2 linked regions of the Drosophila melanogaster genome follow. The protein of the gene in region 2 purifies or fractionates together with the protein of the main gene of each other region. This does not show direct contact. Each region holds a gene or a part of one and is shown on either strand. Other genes may lie near its edges.

Region 1 (4,932 bases), on a different chromosome or scaffold from region 2:
TCATTATTCGATTAATCAACATTTTCGCTCTCAATTTTTCTCTATTCAATTACCTACCATTTATGTTTACCACCACACTTGCCACATCGCACAAGGCTCCCGAAAAATATTGCCCCATGTTAGCCAACATAATTTGCCCAATCCTTGCATAACTTTTTCTAATCTTACCGAATTTCAGTCATCGCAATATGTTTATGTTTATGTCTAACGTGGAAGACATCGTCGGCGTCAATAATTACAGAATCGAAGATATATATATATATATATGTACATATACCCATATACCACACATAAAAAGAGAAAGATAGAGCGGGATGCCAGCTCCCGCATCTCTTGAGTTTTCCTCGACTTTTTTGGGGCAGGCACGCCACATGCTTTTTAACCTTGATTAAGTTGACGTTCTAATGATGCTGCTAATGGTGGCAATGATGTTCTTAATGATGATGCCACTGATGATGATGCCGCCGATGGGATGGGGCTGCTGAAGATGCTGCCGCAACATCATTAACAACATTATCAGCAACAACAAAGGCGGAGGAAAACTTCACGAGTATTTTTTGTTTTTAATTGCCGCCTGGCACTTAGCTAATGTAATTTATATTACATCTAGCTGCCGCTCTAAAAGCTTTAAGTAGCTAAAAAGGAAGAACCAAAACACCAGCAACAGCCAAAGTGCAGCATCCAAAAGTCTTGGAGGTTGTAAAAAGAAGTGTGAGCTCGCTCGAAAGACGTAAAGTTTTGTTTATATTTACCTAACATTGTACTTGAAAGATATTTTCGTTCTTTTCTTTTCTCTTCCACCTTTGGTTCTGACTCAATCGCTCTGCCCCTTCTATTTGTTTATCTAATGGCTAAAAAATATTTAAGCTGTAAAATTTGTAGCTCTCTGATGGCTAAAACCTGCTGCTTATTCCTTCGGTTTCCTATTTACGAAGGTCATAAATACCTTCGGGTCAGTGAGTGAGAAGTAAAAGGTTCGATTTCGACTCGGAATCTACTTCATCCTGAAGTCTGAAAACAGTTGCCATAATTTCAATTTATGCAAAAGTGGGTGTGGGGGCGGAGTGACCTGTCCCACCTGCCCCGCATATTACCTGGCTTTTATCTTAAATGTTTTTTCCTGTTGGTAATTAAAAAGTTTTCTGTTTCAGACCCAGCTATGTACATAGCTTCCCCTGCTCAGTTGTCTGCTTAGCTAATGCAGGTTGGAAGTTTTCGGCTTCGGCCTTGGCGTTTTCGGGCCTGATAACAACAGAGAGTGGGAGCTTTAATGAGTGGGGATTTGCTTTAAGATTTCGCCTCGAGGTTGTTCTCAGATGGAGATAATGAAGGTCACCAATAGAAGATGGAAGCACAGAGTGGAAGGCGCAACATAAAGATAAGCTCGTATTAAAATAATACAAAATCGTTTCTATGGGGATGATCATCATTGAAATAGTTTATAATGTCGGAATATTGTTTATAAATACACAGTAACTCTGAAACCCATAAGGTTACAAAGCTTATTTGGTTTAATGCCGCTAAATATTTTTGTTCTTCTACAGCCATTTCCTTGAAGTCTTCTTGAGTTCGGTCCAAACTGTATACACCTTTCGAATTCCTCGAACTTTAGTACATCCCAGCATCTTAGACTTACGCCAGCTCACGTCTAACCCATTCCCAGTTGGCCAGGCCAGTGGGGCCAAGTTGACATTCCTCAAAAGTGTCAACGAGAAAGGCCCACAACACGAGACATTCGGACCGCTCAGCCGCCCAGTCGGCCAGCTGCCCGAGCCTCCAAACTGAGCCCCACCTCGTTCATTCATAAAGATCCACATCTCCATAAAGAGGGGCAAGCAAACACGAGTCCAGGCAGCACCTAACAAGTTCCCGGAATCGCACAAACCTCGAAAAGTTCTTTAAGTTTTTCGCTCTAACGAAACCTGTTCCCCAGACAGAAACCCCAAAATTGAGACGGCTGGCCCTGGACGGAAACTCCGAGCGAGTCTGCGGCCCGAGACATAATTAATGATTTCAAAATTTCACAACGAAAACTCATAAAACTTATCGATCGAACATTGAAACAACAGCAGCAATAAAAGAAAAGAGAATGTCATGCTGCTGTCAAGGCGTTTTTCTGGCCTTAAAGAGCTTCTTCATTAAGTGTAACGGTAATATCTGATAAGGTCAATCTTTAGTTATGCATTTTATCCTGTTTACACACTATTTTAAACAAATTATAGTAAAACAACCAATTTACGCCTTAAACTAGCTATTTTTTAGCTATGTAGCGTATGCTCTAAAGTTATTCATATGTGAGGTAACGTAAATTTGCTTAGATTATTGATTAAAATTCAATGGTTATCAATCAAAATATTACTAAATTAGCCCTATTTCAGTCTAGTTGTATAGCAATATTCTCTCCATCACTAAAAACCATTTTTCTTCTTTTTCATACTGAATATCAGTATTTTCTTCTAACTATATTAAAATATATTTAAAATGCTGCGCACCAAAAACAAAAAAGTAAATATAAGGTATTAACTAAACTAATTAATATCAGTACTAAACTTAGTAACATCACAGCACAGAATAATAATTAGGCACCAAACGAAGGACTTACCGCGATAATTTTGGCAATTCGTGGCTAGTTTGTTAGCACGCACTGTTGTCAAAACAAAAATGTTAGCCCAAACACAACGTTAACCGAAAGCACAGCTACAAATCTTTGAGATACTATTTGGCGGATAGTCTCCTCGCTTTTTGTTTTCATTGATGAAGAAGCGGCGCGGGCATTTCATTAATTCTGCACACACGTTTCGCCGATGACGATTGACGATTGACGATTTTGCTATTTGCGATGACCCGCGTGCCCCGCCCACAAAAAGCAAGTTGCCCGCACAACAACAACAGCTACAACAGCGACCGACCGATGGTGGTGGTGGGTGGGAGAGGAGGTTGAAGAGAAGGGTGAGAATTTGCACGCGCGAATCTGCTGAGCTGTCTGCTATAAGGAAATAACGGTGCGCTCCACAATGTGTCCAAACACGTTCACGATTTTTTTCGAACTAACGCTGTATTGTATCTGTGTACGCCACGAACTTCAAAACCTCGATTCTCAGCCGCTGTTAAGTGCCGAAGTGAGCTAACAGAACACGAGAGCGGGAGAGCAAGACCACGAGGCAAACACATACACATACGAAGAGAGTGTGATTGTGTGCAACAGCACGAACGCATACTTCGGCTTTTTGTGCAAAAATCATATGGGATGCTCTCTCGCTCAGATAACGGGGCTTATCTGAGCCGGCAAGACTCAAGTTGGATTCTCATTGAGTCAGATAAAGTGAGACTGGATGGTTTGAAACCACGCTAACTAAAATATCATCTCAAAGGACTGAGTTTTGAAAGGATCTAAAGTTATATTGTATAAGTATTGTTATCCAGATTGAATTAACATTCAATCATATTTTGTTCGATATATACAGGTTTTCAATAAAGAAATAAAAGAAATTTTCATACCCTTTATCAAGTACCCACGAAAGTTTTGGCTATAAATTCATTGCAGAGCCTAATACAATTTCTTATCAAGCCGTAAACAAAAGAAAATCTTTGATTTTCCATTAGTCCTATCTCCCCCCATTTTCTATCCAATAAGATGTCGTACTTCCGCCGCCCACAGCTAATTAGCCTTCACCGCTCACATTGACCGGTCCCAATTAGCCCTGCCCATAGAGGCTCCAATAAGTTCATTGCTCGCCCAGCACACATATGTAACTTTCTTATCAGATGCGATGCTAAGTAAAATAAATAAATAAAAAAGAACCAACAACAACGACATGTAAATCTGATTTTTTGGGAGCGGTTGCAGCAGAGACACCAATAACGCCTAAAATGAATGCAAATGGAGCAGTCAAAGATAAACAGAGAGGAAAATTGAACGGAGAACCGGCACCACTCTCTCGCTCTTAGATAAAATTCCCAACTCGATTGGGTTTCCACCAATTTTCTCTCTCGGAAAACCACACGCGTTATCTGGCTCTCTTTCATAGTTCGCCTAAGCGCGGCTAGATGGCGCCAATGTGCTGCCGAAGTGCGAATTGCATTTCAGATGCTTTTTGTTTACCAACGAAAAAGTGGGTGGTGTTTGTACGGTGAAAGGGGGGAGGGGGGTGTCGGCAAATGCGGTTGCATTCTTGGAAATGTTTGCAAAAACCGTCGCCGGTTTGCTGCTACCACAAATGCCGCGTAATCACTTTTTGCGACTACGTCGACGTCACCGGAAGTTGCAACACGTCGCCGTCTACGCACACAAACGTAAAAACCTACATACGATGCATATGCCGTTAATGCCGAACTGCCACACCCCAGCAATTGCAAATTTCATCCCACCCCATGCCAACGCCTTGCAAATTTTCAAAAAAAAAGAAAATCGAGGGGGAAAGAAAGTTGGGAACCTTCGGTGGAGTTGAGTTATCGCTCGCAGTTTCATTGTACGCCCCCCACCACCCACAATCTTTGCACTCTTTTTGTGAACACATGTGTGAACAACTGCAGTCGGCAAACCACCCTTTTACGTACACTGAGAAAAATATCCGATATATTCTGCAAATTAGTATTGGCCACGTCTAAAAATTTAAAATTCAAAATTTATTATAATGAAAGAAAAATTCTGTAGTCCAAATAAAATCAATTCTTTTGTTAGTATAAGTAGTAGCACAGAGTGCACTCTCACATGGTCGCAAGTGCAATTTTTGTTTCAGTGTGATTGCTGCTGCCCCCCTGCATCCTCGGGCGGCGATTAATCATGAAAATTCACACAGAAAATATCCATTAGATACGAATTAAGACATAATTGAGAGTGCAGGCAACGTACACGTACACTCAAGAACCTGCAACGAAAATGCAGTGGAAAGGGGTGGCAGGGGGTTGGTGTTTTCCTCCCCGTGTGCAGCG
Region 2 (5,205 bases):
CCCTCTCCAATTGTGATCACTTCGTCAGTAGTTTCTCTTGCCCTCCAATCACCACCGTTTCCTCCATCCGTTAATTGAATTCTGAGGCCAAACTCTGGACTGAAAATCTCTCTGGCCCTGGAAATGGGTCTCTGATGGTAGCCCGAACATGAGCAATTATGCTTTGTTATTTGTTTATGGCCATTTCGTTTTCCCATTTGTTTATAGAACTCAATTTGCGCGAGAGGAAAATTAAGTCGTGTCGAGAGTTGAGTCTCCATTTCGATCTCAAGTGGCAACTGCTTAAATATTTGCGCTCGAGTCGAAGAATTCGAGAAACCGGCACGAATGGGCATTCCAGAGGCTACAAGTTCAAAATCATATACGATTGTGCCAAGTATGCCATAGAGCTGTATTCGTATTACCCATTTAACATATTCAAACTGCAGTATTTGAAAATGTTTTGTAAAAAGTCTACCTTTTAAAGGGTACTTTTGCAATTTCATTTGACTTTGGTAAAATATATATTGTCAAGATAATGTCTAAGTACAGTGGAATTAAGATAGTGGAGGACAAATGTCTCATTGCAAACAAGGGAAATATATATATAAAGTCATAATACGTTATTGCCCACTCTAACTATGCTGCTTCATGGCCCGGGGCCTTAGAATTCCGGATGCGCCGCAGACGCGGTGGCCAACCCTTTGGGGTTGAATCAAGTGACGTTCATTGAGTTGACTTGCGGTTAGGAAATTGAATTAAAGCGCAATTGCATTTCCTGCCAAGTAGAAAGTCGCGCACACGCACTGTAAAATCCGTAGAATCACTGCCCATAAAAACCCCCCTTGGACTACGCCCCTTAATTACGCTCAATTAGGCGGCAATTATGATATGTGTATATAGTGCTTTTATGTCCTATTATGTCCTTTTGGCCCTAAAATCTATACGCATTTAAAATTTAAAAAAAGCACACCTTTCTTAACAGAATAAATATAATTAGTTATGTGCGATAAGTTATTATCATAACTTACTATTACTAAATCCACAATCCTAGTGTCTCAATTATGACAGCTTGTAAGTGGAATTGTGCAATATTGCAGTTAATATTCATAGGCTTTTCAACGGGACATTAAAAATCATTAGGGATTTTTGCAATCATTGGGCTCTAGCAATGCTTTCAAATTGAATGTATGTACACGTGTGTATGCTACATGTATTTTGGCATATTGTTAACGCCACTATCGTTATTTTGGCCACAATCACTTGTGCCAATCATAAGTAGCACATTTCATCGACTGTACAATGCAGTGCAAAATGACTTGAATTTAATCGAGGCCTAACTGAACAAACCGAAAGCTAGTCTTGCAATAAACTGCTTCACATCGTAGTAGTAACTGGGTGGAGTGCCGACGAACTCCATTGATTGCCCGATTCGAAACGGTTTTTGAAACGGCACTATCTTATCACCACCTAGTATCGGTAAATTCGATAAGATAACTAAATGAGTCGGATTGCCTCACCACCTCACAATTGACTCAACTCTCGCAGGATGACACATGTGTATTTTGTTACCAGTGCTTTTCAAACGTATTACTCCATGCAGTTTACACAGCCGAATGGCATTAACGGTAAACTTAATGACTAACTGGAGTATTTATGTCTGGGGAAATCAGTCATGGTGGAAATTTGCGAGTTAAAGTTTTACCTCGATATATCGAACATTTTAAATTCGTATTTTATGCATAAAAAAGGATGTAACTTTTGTTTAAGAAAGATTGCTGTTTTCATTTCCTAAAATATTTATATAAATATAAATAAAAATGATTAGATACAACTTTCATCAGACTTAGCTTAGGAGTATATTCCAATCTTTTTGAATTTGCCATTTTCTGCGTTCATTCTAAATGTGTCAAACAATTACCTACAAGCTTTCCAGCGATTAAGCAATTCTTATCTCTAGCAAAATAGTCACCAACTTTCTTTCAGAGCCCGAAGTTCATTGTTAAAAGCGAAGCTAGGTTTGGCCAAAGGTCCAACCGCCTAAAAAAACGAAAAAGTAGTAGTACGTAGAATGCTGAGGGCACTTGACGGGGTTAATGTTTTTAGCCTGCTCATTGCTTTCTACTACTTGAAAAGCGGGCATTTGCTTTGCTTTTTTGTTCTGCGCCACCTCTTTCCATACACTTGGCACAATTTTCGATCAACATTTCGTAAAAGTAAAAGTTCCTTAAGTGAAATCGAACTCAAAATATAAATTATACCGCTAAAAATCCTAAAAAGGTTCAAAGAAAACCAATTTAATTTAGAATCCGAAGGGATTATTGAATTTGTATAGAACAACAGTGATTTGTTTCTATATATAGTAAGGATATCCAATTAACACCCAAAAGGGTTCGTTTTTCAGAGACTTGACTGTGGCCTGGAGCAAATTTCGAATACCTTTTTGTAACAATGACTTTGGGGTTGGACTTTTTGCCGATCCGAAACAGTTTTTACGACAAACGCCAACTAAAAACAGATTTTTATTTAACGTTTGCTTTTCTCCGACGTCATTTAACCTTGAAGTATCGAAATACGATGATGACGAGCAGCGGACATAATGGATATGGATATATGGCAAGGTGTCTGCCAATTTAAATACGTATATACATATGTACATGTATATTTTATTTAGCAAGGGGGCGTTTGTTCACAATTCTACACTGCTAATTTATATTCCCCTGGGGGAATTGCAAAAAAAAAAGCGAAACAAGAATAAAACACAAGAATGGAGAGATGCTAAATTCTTGTTTGGGGCTTCGGTTTGTTTGTGTTCTGTTTGTTTTGTTTTGATGCGTGGGCTGTGATCACAAGTAACAAAATCAGGAGAAGAGAGCTGAAAAGAGGAAAGAATTCTTTCTCTCCGTTTATTTGCATTCTTTTTTGGCTTGCCCAGCAGATTTGCAAACAGTTTTTCCTTCTCTCCCTATTACTTTTTTTTTATTACTTTGAACTTTATGGCTGTTCCAGAAACGCACACACTCTTGGCTTTTGGCACATATGAAAACGATGGCAGCACCTCAAAAAAATAAGTGTTGTATTTAAGCGCACCTTAGTCGCAAATTGCCCAAGTAAATAGTCGCATTTATGTATTTATATTAGCTGCTAAAACTAAAAACACGCGAGCGGTCGGTCAGGCGGTTTATGTATTCTACAGCCTTGTTTTTGTTGGGCGGCCAACCGGCGTAAGCGCGTGCAAATGACAAACTGAGCGCCAAAGCGGCGAACGCCAAACGCGAATGCCCAACCTCCGGCCAGAAGTCAGTGATGCTCATTTGGCTACTAATGTGCCAGAATTTCATTCGACCTAATGGGTCGAATTAAACTAACCAAGGCACTCAAAAACATGTTAGCGAACGTTCGCTACATAATAAATTTTCAATACGAGTAGCGCCTACAACTATTGTTAAGCTATAACTATTATAAAAGTAATTTAATTCAGTCCGTTCAACTAGTCGTATGTGTAATTTGTCACCACTACGGCGTATACGTAATGTTTAGATGTGACTTTCAATTTTGTTTAGCGTTTTTCCGCCACTTTCGGCGCTATCATCACTGTTGTATTCTCCCCTTTTGTCGTAGATTTTTTAACTGCTCTCTGCGCTCTTCTGAGCGGATTTCAGTGGAACGAGCGCCGCTTTGGCTGCGGCGATTTAGCGGCTGCGTCTCTCAAACGATCGCCAGCTCAAAACACTCAAAACTAAACCAAAAAATACCACACAAAAAGGTGAAGAATTTTTGCGTTTATTAGCTGCACAAAATGTAAAACAAAATTATTTGTTCCTTTTGAACGAATTTTTGACTTTCTACTTATAAGTAAATGGAATCCAGAAGAATTTTTGGTACTTCCCCTCGCTTTTCTGAGTGTATGTCAAGTTAAAGCTGAGCATGGATTTTAATTTAAATCTGTATCTGAATTTCTTGCACTGCGCTTAATTGAACGATGCCACGCATTACTTGACACTTTTTAAAAAGCCCCCGCAAAAAGCGATGAAAGAGGGGCCAAAGAAGAGTGCAGAAGAGAAGACGAGAAAAGGATGGGAAATGGGGAGAATGAAGAGGTGGACAGTAGATCAACACAAATCAAATCAAATTTACTCGATGGCAACTGCAAACATGGAGCACTTAGCGGTTCGCTTTTCAAGATTCAGGCTATGTAAATATGTACATATGTATGTATGTAAAAACTAATGTGACGAAAGGCTCCGCAGATAAAGCGGTTTGTAATGGCACTATTTACCCTTTTCCACATTACTATTTTAATTTAAAACGGATTCCCAAGTTGCGTTACTTCCATATCTCAAGCTTTGAATAGGTGAACTCATTCCTGTATGCGAATAAATAGTATGGCAAATTGAGCATTTCATATTTATGGCTGTTTTGGAGAATTTATTAGCAAGCAAGCGATTTAACTTTTTGAAATGGATGACTGTGAGGTAATTCGGTCATAAATATGCCTATTCTATTTAACAAATGTATGCTGCTTTTTGCTAACACATTCCTTTATGCCTGCACTGAAATGATTAAAAGTGTAATATACCTTCTATATATTCTTGACTTAAACATGCTAGTTTAAAAAACATAACAAATTTGATAATTTTGATATTTTTTGGAAAATACACTTTCAAACGAAAAAAGAACGCCCTTTCATACCAATTTGATGCACTTGATTTGGTTTTCTCGCAGTGTGGCGTTTATTTTGATCAAGCTGACTGACTGACTTACTGACCATATATGCACATTAATAACTCGAAAAGGCTTTTAGAACGCATTTGCATGGCAGCCGCGGCTGCAAAAGCCGCAACAACGTTTAATTCGCAACGAAACAGCTCGTCGATCGCGCTTGCAAATCAAGTTAAGCAACATTTCAAAATGCAATTTCAGCACACCCGCCTGGCATTTTACTTGGGCTTTGTCTCTCTGTCTTTGGGATTCAATTTGATATTATTTTCAGTTTTTGTTTATAGTAGCCGTTTGTTCGAAACAGCTAAACAGCTGTGTAAGCCAATAGAGATTAATATTTATGTACATATGTATGTATTGGCGAGTGCTTTGTTCGAGTAACTGAGAAGTCAAATGGCCATTTGATATGCCACCCTCTGGATAAAAATTGTATAAATGGGTTCTAAGGTTTGTTTATTGCTTGACTTGGACTTTTCTCACTTCAGACTGTTCCTGAGAACTTGA

The links.
Region 1: the proteins of CG5541 (region 2) and caps purify together in Drosophila melanogaster (affinity purification with western blotting; one large-scale study listed by BioGRID). This does not show direct contact.

The regions. Positions count from the first base shown.
Region 1 is NT_037436.4:13,226,811-13,231,742, reverse strand, and holds the start of caps (capricious), read right to left. Parts: upstream 3,052-4,932; 5' UTR 2,603-3,051; intron 1-2,602.
Region 2 is NC_004354.4:15,042,148-15,047,352, reverse strand, and holds the start of CG5541 (uncharacterized protein), read right to left. Parts: upstream 3,231-5,205; 5' UTR 3,070-3,230; intron 1-3,069.